2 linked regions of the Oreochromis niloticus genome follow. The protein of the gene in region 1 interacts with the protein of each later gene in a pairwise test. Links are inferred from orthologs where the notes say so. Each region holds a gene or a part of one and is shown in the gene's direction. Other genes may lie near its edges.

What was found. The genes of interacting proteins can lie anywhere in the genome.
Region 2: the proteins of zc2hc1a (region 1) and castor1 interact in binary tests that used the Homo sapiens proteins (3 or more experiments, as listed by UniProt). The two-hybrid records come from large-scale screens. The link is inferred for Oreochromis niloticus from reciprocal best matches to the Homo sapiens genes ZC2HC1A and CASTOR1.

What each region holds. Positions count from the first base shown.
Region 1 is NC_031974.2:23,287,288-23,294,739, reverse strand, and holds the start of zc2hc1a (zinc finger C2HC domain-containing protein 1A), read left to right. Parts: upstream 1-4,432; 5' UTR 4,433-4,532; coding exon 4,533-4,548; intron 4,549-5,023; coding exon 5,024-5,097; intron 5,098-7,252; coding exon 7,253-7,369; intron 7,370-7,452.
Region 2 is NC_031977.2:29,895,117-29,902,521, reverse strand, and holds the start of castor1 (cytosolic arginine sensor for mTORC1 subunit 1), read left to right. Parts: upstream 1-4,119; 5' UTR 4,120-4,319; coding exon 4,320-4,477; intron 4,478-7,405. Other genes in the region: nipsnap1 (protein NipSnap homolog 1), read left to right, coding at 980-1,063, 1,612-1,676. UniProt on the Homo sapiens protein: Functions as an intracellular arginine sensor within the amino acid-sensing branch of the TORC1 signaling pathway. As a homodimer or a heterodimer with CASTOR2, binds and inhibits the GATOR subcomplex GATOR2 and thereby mTORC1.

The sequences.
Region 1 (7,452 bases):
GATAGACTAAAAGAAGTGGCTGCTGGAGTCCATAAATGTCCGGTGGCACTTAGCTTCCCTCAGCTTGAGTCTGCTCTTCTTTAGTTGGAGAGTTCTGGCTTTTCTCAGCATCTTCTCCCTCATCACCTGGAAAACAGTGAAGAAAGAGGACAATGGAAAGTCTGTTTCATGCAAATTTAACTGCGGGTGAAGTCAGTGATGCAGCAACCAAGTCACCAAGTCACATATATGTAAAATGTAACTGAAGAACTTCAATTAAATTTTATTTATATAGTGTGAAATCAGAACAACAATCATCCACTGTTGGAAAATCCATAGAATTCAACTGAACACAAGTAGAAAAGAGACGATGTGTTACCACCCTGATGAATTATTAATGTCACCATCAAAATATGTTCTCATTCTTCATCGTGTTGCTCACCTGACTTGTTGATGTTGAGCTGTGCCAGACTCTCTGACAGATCAGTGGTGCCCGGTTCTCCAGGGGCGTCTGGAATATCATGGATGGCATTCCTGCGGCCAGATCGTCGAGAGGCGATGAAGTCCTCATAGGTCGCCTCCACATCCGTCATCGCTGACACACCTCACCATAGCAGGGCCTGGCGCACACAGCAGCACACACTGACACACCTTTTCAAGTTGCACAGGTGCACAGTGACCCACAGACAGTGGAATCTGCACCACTTTTATGGAAAGATCGCTGAAATGGACAGAATTTGTGCAGCTTCTCCTAAATAACTTTACACAATGGCAACACCAGTTTTTGTTGACAAGAAGAATGTAACGCGGCAGGCTATGCAGGCACTCATTGAATACATCCCTCCCTCCGCTTATCTTATGACCTAATCCCTGCTTAATCTATTTTAATCTCAGTCTAGGGTACGGGCGACACCATGGATACAGAGGAGGCAAATTCAGTAGAAGGAATGCCGAGGAGAGCGATGGGAAATATAAACAGGCAATCTGATGCATTACATTAACCAAAGAGCACACTTAAAGAGGTCATTAAAGCAGAATGAGGAAAGTACTGTCATATCACTTGGAGTAAGCATGGAGCATGATGGGAACTGTGCTGCCCCGGAGATTTAGGTTAAATCCTTCTGCTTATATTCAAGCCCTTTGTAGCAATCTGTCTGGCTGAGGCTGTCCTTCAGCACTGAGCAGATTCAGGCTTTGTTGTCACATTTCTTTCAATTAAAATCTGCTATTATGAGATTTCTTTGGCTGTATCAGTCTGGATATCTGCATTTATTTGCTGCCACTACTTTAAAATTTTCAAGGAAAATAAAAAACCTCAGAAGACATCACAACACTCAGTCACAAAAAAAGGTTGGTTTGATTTTCCCCAAGTCAAATGCAGGATTTTTAAATTATGTATAAGTATATATTAAAAATGCCTCACTTTCACATCCATTTGTGGCTATTTCCAGAGAAAGTTGTGGTAGACCGTGGCTATTTTTGGAAGCCTCCTCTGTCATCATCTGAGCACCCTCCCACTCAGCTGTCATTCTCAAAATGGTGTCAAGATGGGCAAGACCCAGCAGATGCTGTCCGTGTACGACTGACAGACCAAACGTGTGAGGAAGCAAGAGAGATAAGACGGCTGTTCTCTAACTTAATATGAGAATCGGGGCACTGGATTGTGCTCATAGGTATGACTGGTTTATTAGCAATAAAGAAGAAATATCATTTGAAACATTACATCATGTAAACAGCTGGTTCATTTAGCTTGCATGAGTAAATGTCCCAGGCTTTACTGGTAGAACCAAATGAGATATAAAATTCTTGCCCACACCTTTCAATAAAGAACCTGTCTTATGATAGAACATAAGTGAATCTAATTGGGATTCATTATCATTGCCAGATCTGTAAGTGCAGACATTTTTTCCACTGAAGCTGTGTTTATATTTGAAGTTAGAAGTTGAAGTTAGAAGTGACAGGACATTTTGCGATGTTTTCTCCTATGCTCATATTCTATGAAATATTAATTGCCAGTTTACATAATTCAGTCAGACTGTTGTACCCATGAATTAGAACATCGGCTACTCAGCTGTGTGTGTGTGTGTGTGTGTGTGGATGTGTGCGCGCGCTCTTGCAGTAGAATACTCCTGCTGTCCTCATGGTTTTACTCCCATGTGGGAAGTAGAGCTCAGCTGGCCTGGACACCAATATATATAGCACAGACTCCAAACAAATGATCAAATCGCTGAATAATACAACAGGCCAGCCCTCTCTGTCTTTCACTATGAAGTTGGGGGGGGAGAGAAAAAGTCTACTCCTGCTTTGCAGCTGTTTGATTTGTTATGCTGCCAAACAGAAAATTAGCAGTGATAAAGGCAGTACATGAACGAGTCCCAGAAACTTATGCCAGAGTTATTCTAGGTGGCCTGGGCATACCTGGGACTGATGCCAGTGGTCTCACTTTTTCTCTCATGCTCGCATACACAAACAGACATGCTATACTCCAACATCACCGTGCCAAGCGCAAAAGTAAACAATTTCTCCTTAACCACGGATTCACGCGCAGCTGTCAACATCCTCCATGTAAGAGCGCACAGATGTTTTACTGTTATTTCTACAGCTCGTACATATTTAAGGCAGGCTTAGCTAAGTGATTTATTTAAAAGTTCGTCGCGAGTCTGCGTGAGTGCGACGTCACTCCACAAAGACCTCTATGTCCAAAATGACAATTTATCACCTACTAAAGGCTAAGTGGAAGCGCTGCAGTCACGCGCATTGGCGTCCTAAATAATAAAGCGCTAGTTTTTTTTTCTTTTTTTTGTTAAATACATATAACCTTTAAATACAGACGAGCTTAAGATTGCAGGAGAATCTGAATGTTTAAATTCATTATTAAAACCAAGAGCCATTCGTCTGTCTTTGATGACAAAGACCCCCACAGAGTCAGGTCAGTGCCAGTAAACGTAGCCTGCATGATATTAACATTACACATGCATTTACGAGCTTTGCGCACTTTGCACCTGCAGTTATTATTCTTAATATGATCAGCAAGGTATGCTACCTGTTTGGGATAAATGGCTTCCGAATATTCGCAGGGGTCAATCACATCGGCTCGGATCTTGCCATTTCGGTATTCCCCAATGCGCTCATGAAAGAGAATTACTAATGTCAAGCAAATCAAGCACACCGAAGCTACTTCCGAGTATCACTTTCAAAATAAAACCGCATTACTTTGAAGGGACGCTTAACAGAAAAGTTTTTCATTACCAGCTACTTTACCTACTCCTTTATTTGATTAAATAGATAAATATACATATAAATAAATAAATACACATATAGGATTAGTAATAGGAATACTTGCACCACATTCCTTAATTAATATCTGACAAAGTGAGAGCCATACACTTTAATGCCAAGTGCATCTTTTAACCGTGAATGTGTGTGTAAAATCATTAAATTTTAGGACAGAGACTTGTTTAAAGGTTAGGATACGTTAGGGCTTGGCGAATGGTTATTATTCCATTGCTATAATTTGAAATGGTGAAAAGGCATCGCGCTTGGGCGTGTGTGTGGTGTGAGAGATCACACAAAAGGGAGTCAGTGTTGAAACAACGCCCCTCTTGTGATAAAGGCACATGTTTGCTGTGCCCTCTTAGCATCTGTCCATGAATCATTCCATTCAGATGACACATGTTGTCAGTATGGCAAATGAGGAACTTCCTAGTGTTTGGTCTGCGCAAGTGTTTGAGCTAACAAAAGCAGCAAATGAGCACACTAGTTTGGGTGTCTGGTTGATATAACGAGTTATCTGTAAATGACCATCTCCAAACAAAGCTGAGATGCAAGGTAAAGCTACCAGCTTGTTTACTCATTTACATAACTTTGAATCAACAACAACACTAATAACTAATAGCATTTCGTTTTTTATTTATTTCTATAGCTAAAATAATTGAAAAAAAAAAAAAGACTTCGTCCCAGTAACAGCAACATTTGCGAGTTTCCAGCGAAAACTGAGCTACGCAAACTCCAAAAAAAATTTTATGGTTAGGAGTAGTACTGGGAAACATGACAGAGGTTCCCTCCCACGCTCCACCTGCTGTCCAAAATAAACAGTGCATACTTAACACTCCATCAGAAACAGTGCAGTAACAACCAATGAAATACTCGCATGTTAGCTCACCGAGCGGCATCGGACAACCCAGTTGCTATCGGTAGCCAAAGATCAGTAGTGTCAAGATAATTACCTGCCATTGGGAATTGGAACAGGATAATAACGTCCCAGAAAAGACTAACTAGTGTCGACATAAGTCACAGAGAAACAAACAAAACATAAAAAATGACAAACCAAAAATGTAGATCTGCACAGGACATCAGTAATTCACAATACACTGCAGAATCAATTTATATGGAAATTAAAGTAATTTTCCTTACAGGATAAAAGGGTAAAACTAAAACCTTTCTCCCGTTTTAGCAAAGCCGGAAATGAAGAGGGGTTTTCATCTTGTATTTTCCGTCTACGTCTGGCCGTTTTCTAACAACAGCAGCAGGACCAGACAAGGGATAACCTAAGGATGGAAGAATTTGAAGGTATGCGATATTGCTGTTCGTGTGTTTACTTCAGCCTTTTGTGGCAAATTTGGGATTTTAGCATTTCGGTTTTATCTGCCAAGTGGACGCGTTGGGGTTCGCGGCTGCTTTAGATGAACAGTTTTGCATAGCGACCTCCTTTTTGTTTGGGTTTTAGCCCAAGTAATGCTAGGTAACGTCAGGGCCAAAGAAGAAGCTAGCTGCTCCTCCTCTCTGAATGGGTGTGATTCCTAGCTAGAGGAGCTATCCAGCTAACCAGCAAACTCCTAACAAATAACACCATCTAAACGAACAACAAAACATTGTTGCCTTTACTGTGGCAGAGGAACACAATTTATGACAGCGAAGTGTTTACCTTGTATCAAATGTTAACTAGGTCATTATTTTTCTTCCTATGTTTGTTTAGTCCCGTTGTGGTCCATGTTTGCTCCTTAAACCTTCACCACAATCAGAATTTATTCTGTTATTCTTGCAGATGGCGAAGCTTCTCTGGTTGACGATCGGGTTCAGTGTAATACCTGTAAAAGATGTTTCTTCCCCAAAGTCCTGGTAAAAAAAACCCCAAACCACCTCTTGCACATTTCTGACATTTCTTAATACAAAAAAACAAAACAATGTGTAACACTGTTCTAAGAGTACAATATTTTAATCGCAGACACTTTAAGTGTGTGTGTGTGTGTGTGTGTGTGTGTGTGTGTGTGTGTGTTGATCACGCACTGTGATTAACCCGCCTGGCTGACAGTATTTACCACATTAATTCTCAGCTGACAGGGTATCAGCTGTTTGTTCAATAATAATGTGTCCCTGGCTATGATCCAGATAGCTAGCAGGGTCGTGTGAAGAGCTCTGTAGGGGAGTAGAAGGTTTTATCAAAGCAGAAATGCTTTTTGTTTGAACAAATTTGTGATATTCAAGACTCTGATTTAAAAATTTCACTAAGAAACTTCTCTAGCAGTACTGTTTTCCCATAAAATGGAGTTGGAAATATTGGTCATTAATTAATTATTTAATTAATTTCATAGTGGGCCATTTTTTGTATATAGATGAATTGTAGCACAGGTGTCAACTGGACTGTATCATGTGAAGCATTTTCTTTCACTTCATCATCTAAATCAGTGAATGGAGATTGTTTAGAAAGGATGGCTTCACAGCATGTTCAGCAATACAGTACTCTCAGCACTGTCTGCAGCACATGCAGGTAGGGGTGGTGTCATAGCGCTATATAAATGCAATCCATTATTATTATTATCATTATTATTATTAATATAGGCGAAAAGACTGTGGTGTTGAGTCATGGTTATGGATGACAGATAGACTCATCTGTATTTCGGAAACTGCTGATCTACTGGGATTTTCTCATATAACCATCTCTTGGGCTTACAGAGAATCGACAGGAAAAAAAAGAATATATTCATGGAGCGGCAGTTATCTGGGTCAAAATGCCTTGTTGATGTCAGATATCAAAGGGGAAAGGCCCAGCTGCTTCAAGCAGATAGGAAGGCATCAGTAACTAAAATAGCTGCTTGTTACAACAAAGGCACACAGAAGAGCATCTCTGAATGCTCTTCTGTGTTCAGAACACAAGCACATTCAGATGTGGGCTGCGGCAGCAGAAGACCACACCAGGTGCCACACTTATCAGCTGAGAACAGGGAACTAAGACTACAATTTGTAAAAAAGTGTTGTCTGGTTTTACGAGTTTTTGATGCACCATTTGGATGGGAGGCTCATAATTTGATGTAAACAGCATGAAAGCATGGCTCAGTCCTGCATTGTATCAGCAGTTCAGGTTGCTGGTAATGGTGTGGAGGATAGCATAGTTTTGATACAGCCGTCTACCTGAGTGTTGTTCCTGACCTTTATTAACACAGTGTACCCATCTACTGATAACATGACATGTTCTGATGTTCTGATTATAACATGGCATGAAGCTGAGATTATCTCAAAACTGGCTTCTTATAAGTCACAGTGAGTTCGGTGTACTCAGATGACCTCCACAGCCACCAGATCTCAACATCTTTGGGATGTTTTAGAATAGGAGATTTACATTGTGGATATGACAATGACTGACAAATCTGCAGCATCTGTGTTACGCTATCATGTCAGTGTGCACCCAAATCTCATGCAACAAGAATTAAGGCAGCTAAGAAGGAAAGAGGGGGTTCATCCTGGTACTAATGTGTACCTAACAGAGTCGCTAATGAGTTTATATATTTTACTCCCCAAAAATCCTCTATTCCTTTGTTTATTATGTTGAAATGACTAAAACTTAATACAGAGTTAATACATTGAAGCTATAAAGATTTTGGTGTTTAATTTGAAGAGTATTTTCAGGTAAACAACCAAATATGTGCTCCCATGCAAGCACTCAGCCTCATTAGTAGATAATGGCTGCATTAAAGAATGGTGTATTATTCTAGGTATGTATAGCAATATATGCTTGGTTCTCCATCAGGAAGACATTAGTGTGCTAGAGAGTTGGCTACAGCTTTGAGGAGGTTACTGGTGTTGTTGATCTTACTCATATAAATTTGAGCTTGAAATGCTTGAAAGAAGGTTTCCTCCTCTTTCAAGAAATTCATTTAGGAAAATGTCGTTGAAAACTTAAATTATAGTAAAAGACAGATCTTAAGTGATGCCAGTGGTGTTAAAAACAAATAAAAATGTTTTGTCATGTTTTGTGCACATTGTCCTCCTCCAACAGGAGAAGCACGCAAAAATCTGCCAAAAATCAGCAACTAAAAAGAGGAAGGTTTTTGACTCCAGCAGACAAAGAGCTGAGGGAACAGACATCCCCGTACTGAAACCCATCAAACCAAAGGTAAGCCTTCAGCAGAGCGATGGAAATCCACATAAATTGTCAGCAGTGATTGAAAAAAAAATTGCCTAAAGTCAGAAAACTAG
Region 2 (7,405 bases), on another chromosome or scaffold:
TGTAAGATGAGGTGATTGACTGCTGTATGTTAAAATGTCTGACAAGTTTGGTCTGGCTGAATTTCAGATAGCTGAATGCTCCTGTATACATTCTGTATTCTAATGAATTACTAAAGCTCAGTGTTACGGTTCCAACATAAGCCAGGTGTGTCAAACATCAACAAAGGATGATTTTACACTCGACATAACATTTGGACTTTTGATTGCATCTTGGAACAGGAAGCATTATATTGCGAGTCAATCAAAGTATTAAAGGTGTTTTATGAGTGGTTGTCCATATTTTTGATATCATCTGAACTCTGGTTCAGATGATATTAAAAATATCAAGCCTCTGGGCTTGAATCATAAATTTCACACATTTTTGAAGCCTGTATTATCTCAATGAAGTAAGGGCATTCAGCCAAAGAGCTATGTCAGTGTGTTTCTTTGAAATGACAAGAGCATGAGGAAATACTGAGACATATTGTTGTAATTGCAAATATTTTCCATAAGACATGTTGGGCTGTTTTATTCACTGATAGACAGAATGTACTAATACTTGAAACTCAAAACATACGGGAAGAAATGTTTGGGTGGCTTTTTTACGTTATTATTTAATTGTGGTCTGACATTTATGATCAAATTGACCCATATGTGACCCACGAACTACATGTTCTTACCTGAAATGTGGTAGAACAGGAGATTCACATCATGTACCGCATGTGCAGCCAATGAATTTGCAGTAACAGTGCGATCCTATTATGTGAAAATGGATCAAAATCTCGAAGGAATGTTTCCAGCACCTGGTTGAATCTGTGTGGTTAAGAATTGAGTTCTGATGGCAAAAGAGATTTGGCCTGATGTTAGCAAGGTTTAACTAACGAAGGTGCCAGTGACTGTAAATTTTATCCACACATAATGCAATATAATATGTGTGGTGGAGTTTTTTGGCTTTGCTTTTTTCATTGGAATTTCTTTTTTCTTTGCCGTCTTTTCATAGCTTATGAGAGCCTCCAGTCCCGAGAGGAGACAAGAAACTCTGCCTGGCGGAAAGAAGGATGGGACGTAAACGTGTATTATACAGGTAAGAAAGAAATGCTTCGCCCAGATGCCTTAAAAAAGAAAAATGATTTTGTCAGGGCTACTTTATACCTCATTGATTATTTTTACCTGCAATTATATTGAGCAAAGTTGAGACTCGTAGATCACAAAACTCTTTTAATCATAGTTGCCTACCAACAATTTTCTGCTGAAACGTTTAATGTGGTCGGTGTACTGGATCTGAAATCTGTATTTCTTTGAAGTAGGGCTAAAGTAAACCTTCAGTGTTTTCTTTAAATGTTTGCCACAAAATCAGAAAATTATATAATGCTGCCTCCCCTCCCCCATTGTTGTTAGTGATGGAGATGAAAGGGTTGCGGTAATAATAATAATTTAAAAAAAATCTTAATTTATTGGCCATCCATGGTAATATGAGACTTAAGCAGTGTGAGCATCAAATTATAAAATGATACTGCCCAGCTTGAAGAATTTTAAGAGCTGTATGTTTGTTGTTTGCTTTCCTGTTTGTTTATTATTACAATTGTAATTTTCAGTACATCATTTTCTAACTGTCTTTCTGTCTGTCCTCAGTGCCTTTGTTGCGAAGTATGGAGTCAAGAATAATGATTCCAACTAAGAGTTCACCTTTACAATGAGAAAGCGACTGAGACTGCAAATAATTCAATGACCAAATTTTACTTAACTTTTTGGTCTTACGAATTGTAGTTTCCATTTCTTCTGTATGACCTGTGTTGTTACTAAAAGCATTGAAGTAAAACTTCTGATTCCATGTTTGTGATATTGCCAAAGTCAAAAGTAGTTGTACAATTTCCAAGCACATTCAGTATAAAGAACCTGAAAAACCAAGATTTACAAGGGTTTAGATAAAACACGTGAAGGGGGGGAAAACACAAGAGAAAAAGAGTTTGTGCGTTACGGTGTTATTGAGGAATTTTTACGTTCTGATTTAGTGGAGTGAAGTGAGGTGTGTTTGCTCTATTTTGATCATTAATTGATGTAACGGAACACATATTGGGGTTTTTGTTTGTTTGTTTTCTTTTCCACAATAAAGATTTTTATGATAGTACTATTAAATGTACATGGATGACTTAATGAATGAGATCATGCTGAATTTTGCAACGGTGAATGTAAAACAACTGTTTGATTAAAAAAAAATAAAAACAAAAGCCCACCTCACTGATTGTACTTAAAAAAATTAAGTACATTTCAATTTTGCAGATTCAATTATAATTTAAAGTCAATGTGTAAAGATGTTACATAAATTAATACATTAATCTGGGATATTTTTTTGGGAAATAATAGGTGACCTACACAAAATATGATTATTGTAATATTTAGAATCAACATTAGACTGATGGAAAACAAAAGTATGGAAAACCATACTGTAGTCTTTTTTTCATAGACTAGCTATGTAAGTGTCATAAAAACCATGTCACCCTGAGCAACATCATTAGAGTTGCATCTCTTTATCTTGAGTAATTCTTCTCTACTGGATTAATCCTGAAATGCGAGTTTATGACTGACACTTTTCTGTTTATGAAAGTAACACCTGCGATCATCTGATAAATGAAAACATTATCATATAAGATCAGATCAATAAAATATGAAGTAACTATCAAGCAACTAGTCAGTGAGTTCACCTGTAGTCTATGGCCATTAAGGTCGCAAGAATTTTACTCAGAGGTCAAGTTCAACAAGCATTTCTTTATTGACCTTTGGGCAACGTTACTGAAATAGAAATATCCTTTATTGTCCCTAATTGGGGAATTCACATGTTCCAGCACCAAAGTGACAGGCAGATACAGATTCTCACAAAAGTAAAGAATATAAAATAAAACAAATGGACAGCACATGGCAAATTTACAACGTAACAAAAACAATACTGTATAGTTATTAAAAATATACTCAGACTCAAAGAAATGTGCAGCTGAGTAGGATGTTTTTGGGGTTTTGGTTGTTTTTTTTTACAGAATCAGTGATAGTGCTGTGAAAAGTGCTTAAAAACAACAACGAGAAAGTATTTACAGAACACTGAAAAACTGTACAAATAACAGCAGTGACGCAAACAACTTATTGTGTTCATTGGGATCAGTGATAGATACAAAGTCTAACAGCTGCTGGGAGGAAGGATCTGTGATAGCGCTCCTTTGTGCAGCTAGGATGCAGCAGTCTGTCACTGAAGGAGCTCTCCAGGTCTGCAACAGATTCATACATGGGGTGGGAGACGTTGTCCAAGATTGATTTATTTTGGCCAGAGTTCTTCTGCCTCCTACCACCTGCAGTGGGTCGAGGGGGCATCCTAGAACAGAGCTGGCCTTCCTGATGAGCTTATCCAACCACTTCCTCTCAGCTGTAGATAAGCTGCTGTTCCAGCAGACAACACCACAGAAGATGGCTGACGCCACCATAGAGTCGAAAAAGCTCTTCAGGAGCACACCCTGCACTCCAAAAGATCTGTTTTCTCAGCAAGTAGTCTGCTCTGATTTTTCTAGTAAAGAGTATCAGCGTTGTGACGCCAGTCCAGATTATTGTTCAGGTAGGGGTACACCCAGGTACTTATAAGAGTCCATTATCTCAATGCTAGTTCCCTGGATGTTCACTAGTGTTGGTGTGGTGGATCTGAAATCCATCACCAGCTCCTTGGTTTTCCCTGCATTGATCAGGAGATGATTCTGCTGGCACCAGGCCACTATCTGTACTCTGGGTCATCCTCAACTTTGATGAGGCCTGCTATGGCAGAGTCATTAGACAACTTTGGTAGATTTCAGCATGGGTAGTTGATGGAGGGGGAAAGCAGCAAGTAATCATATTTAAAATGATACTGATATTGTTTTGTTTACACTCTCTTATGAAAAAAAATGTAAATAATTGTAATAATAGTAATAGTTATAATTATTGTAATCTTTTGTTTTAGTTGTGCAGTCAAATCCGCTAAATGAACAGAAACTGTTATGAGGATATTTGATGGCTTTTAATTTTTTTAAACAAAACCGGAAGTTGTCACAGCTCGTTTCACACCCCCCCTGCGTGCATGTGCCAAACAGCGGCATAAACCTGTAGCTTTAAGAGGAGGGGGCGTGTCTTTTCTAGGGCTGTCCCTTTATTTGAATATACAGTAGTTAAGCGGGGCTGGCGTCTGGTTGCGTCGCATGTTTTTCTCTATTCTGAGAGAAGCACCAGCGTGACGTGGGGTTTTTAGTCGGCGGAAATACTCATGACTTATGTCTCTTTAACATTTGAATGATATCATCCAGCTAGGAAGGCGTTTTCTCCGCCGCATGCAGGAACAGAGCAGTGGAGAGGAACTGTTCGCAACCAGGAATATGGACTTGCACATATTGGACCACAGGCTGAGGGTCACCAGTATATCCAAGAATGGCCTGGTGAATTTCACGCACCCACTGATAAAGCTGATATTTCTCCGGAACAGGACACGGTAAGGAGATTCATTGATCGGGCCAGATGGTCATGTCGCTTCGCTTTACGAATCAGCTTTGGTAATCCAGTACGGATATATGAGATAACCTACAGCGCCTCTTCATTCACTGGGTGGCCGAGCTACTGGGCGATTTGTCTGCACATGCTTTGCCTCCATGAATGATTCACAACAGTGCATGTAGATGTAAAGAATTGCAATAGCTTTTGTTTTTAGACATTCTGTTTTATTGTTGCATTTGCACAAAATCTGCAGCATTTAAACAAACAAACTGAATTTTTGTGCCCTGCATACCTTTAATACGCGATTCTTCCAGTGGGCACAAAATCAACTTTAATCAAACTACTTCAGAAGCGTGCAGTACCGTTGTGTATTTCGGTTGGACCCCGTCTCTCCGAAACAAACTTAATACATGACATCCTGCGCTCGAAACCAACATTCAGTCTGCAAATTTTTCTGATCTCACCCGGGCATTAGTACCAGTTTTCAGCTAATCCCTGGATATCCCTCCATTGTTATGCAATTGTTTATTCTTGCGGCTGGCCCACATATACATGGCCAAAAGAAGAGCTCGACATCTGTCTTCAGACCACCATGATATAGGCCGTGCGGGGTTCAGCTGCAGCTCTCGTTTGAGTAACAAAGAACCTGTAAACAACTGTCTAGAAAGCGCTTCCTTATGTCATCGCCTTTCTGGATTCTGAAGTCTGTATATCACACCATACTCTGAAAGTTTCTTATGATGTACCTTATTTTGGCTTCCTCTTAAAAAGAGAGCAACTTTTTCATTATTCGGGGCTGATGGGCAGTAAAAGTGCATTCTTACAAGACCATGAATCCCGTTGTGTCTATGTTTCCTTTTCAAATGCATCCCTGTACGTGCTCGATTGTTTTCATCAGTACTCTGTTGTGTATTGGATAATGGAATAAGTTTTGACATGTTCACACTAGACACACTGTGTCATGATGACTTACACTACAGTACTGTAGAAAGTAAATAACATGTCTCTGTGAATAATCATAGATGTGTGGGATTTGTGTGAGGAAGGCATTGGGCAACCGGTTAACAAGAAAACCCATATAAGTATATAGTTATTTTTAAAAACTCACTTGAAAGGCATAAGCATTTTTTGAACCGGTTTAGTGAAGCATTCAGTATATGGATAAAAAGTAGGCGAAGCACTGAATAAACCAGAAAAGGGCATTTTGTTCATGCTTTGGAGTTATGTCACCATTGTTTTTCCTGTTTCTTTTTCCTTAAGCAAGAGGGATATTTTTTTTTTTTTTCCACCTTTTGATCAAATGCTAGGTGATGCGGAATGGGGAGTGGTGGAGACATTTGTTTTTAGTTGCTTGATTTCAGTCAGGGAGCAAAAACAAGCCTGATTGCTCCGGGACACTTTTTAGCCATCTCCCTTTTTCAGGCCTCTGCTATTCATTTGTGAACAACTCCCTGTGCAAAGTGATTTGAACGCAGCTCTGAGCAGAATTTTAAGGAGATATTCACATGTGACATAGTGGATTTTTCTTCAGCGTCCTTTAGCACTGGCGCTTACTACGTCTATAGTGCAGAGGCTAAAAGTAGTGAAAGGAACACTTTTGACTTGTCTACAAAGAAATATTCATATGATGGAATAAAGTGTGCACTATTAGCTACAATATTGCTCTGTAAATGTCAGTGTCATTACCAACTTAAACATAAATGTCAAATACCCTGTTTTGCAGAATATAAAATATCTAAGGATGTCAGTGAATCCTCCCAGAATGGCTGAAAAAATGTGCACCTTGGGCTTCCAAGCCATTCTAGTCTTACTAGTATTCTGGCTTTGTCTTTAGTAGTTGTTTACACTTTGTAGGTAGAGTAATAAACGAAGCTCAGCATCAGCTCAATATATTGTTCTTCCTGAATTGTGGATGTAGCCCCGCAGGCTCCACACAGTCCTCCTTTCTTCTCTTTGGCGGCTAGCTAACAAGAGCATGGGTTGGAACAATGCTTCAGCCGAGCCAGAAACCCGGTTGGGAGTTTTCCACTTGTCTGCTTCAGTGATCCGTCAAGGTTGGGGCTCCCACTCCTCCTGTTTACAGAGGACTTCCCACACCCCGTACCCACCCGCCTTTTTGGAAAAGGGGGGCGAAAAGGAAGCCTGATAGAAAACTAAGAGTGTTGTTTTCATAAGTTGCTAACGTAGCAGACAACTTGCCGTGCTCTGATCATAGGACTTGAGTCGCTTGAGGCTCATTCCTCGCCCTTCAGCGTCAGTTTTCTGTGTGCTTATCATGTTTTCTCAGCTGGAGCATCAGTTGCAGGCCCAGTGCCGTCACCAGCCCTCACTCCCTAGGTGCTGCTACCCCCCGTTGTTTTGTGCAGCTGGATCAAAGTCCAACCTCTTGTGTGCTTGGTTTTCATCTTCCCCACTTGGCCGCTCCCTCGCTACCCGTTGCTTCCTCATCACTTGTAGTTATTTTCATCTCCTTCTCTCAGTGTTCCTTCTACTTCAACAGAAGCTTATTTTTCCGACCCATGTTACTGGATGCTGGTCAAAACATGTTTGGGGCACTGACTTTGCTAATTATTTTTTAAAAATATGTCCAGCTATTATAATATTTTAATCTTATTCAGTGTTCTCACACCAGAACTGAGTATAGGTTGTTTTCTCCAGCTATTTTTTTTTTTTTACAACCTCTAGAAATTTTAAAGTTAAGCAGCCTCTTGAGAATCTATGTGAAAAGTATGCTGGTGTTGTCACTGGGGCAGAACACAGCACCTTGGTAACTTAGAAAATCGAGCTTTCTGATGTGTGTTTTTTAATGTAATTCAAGCAGCTTTTGTGCCTAACCAAATAGCAACTAAGTTTTCTAGTCGAATATCAGGTATGCAATCTCAGTGTGGCTAGTGCTTTAAGTCTACCCACATATACTGGATCTCCC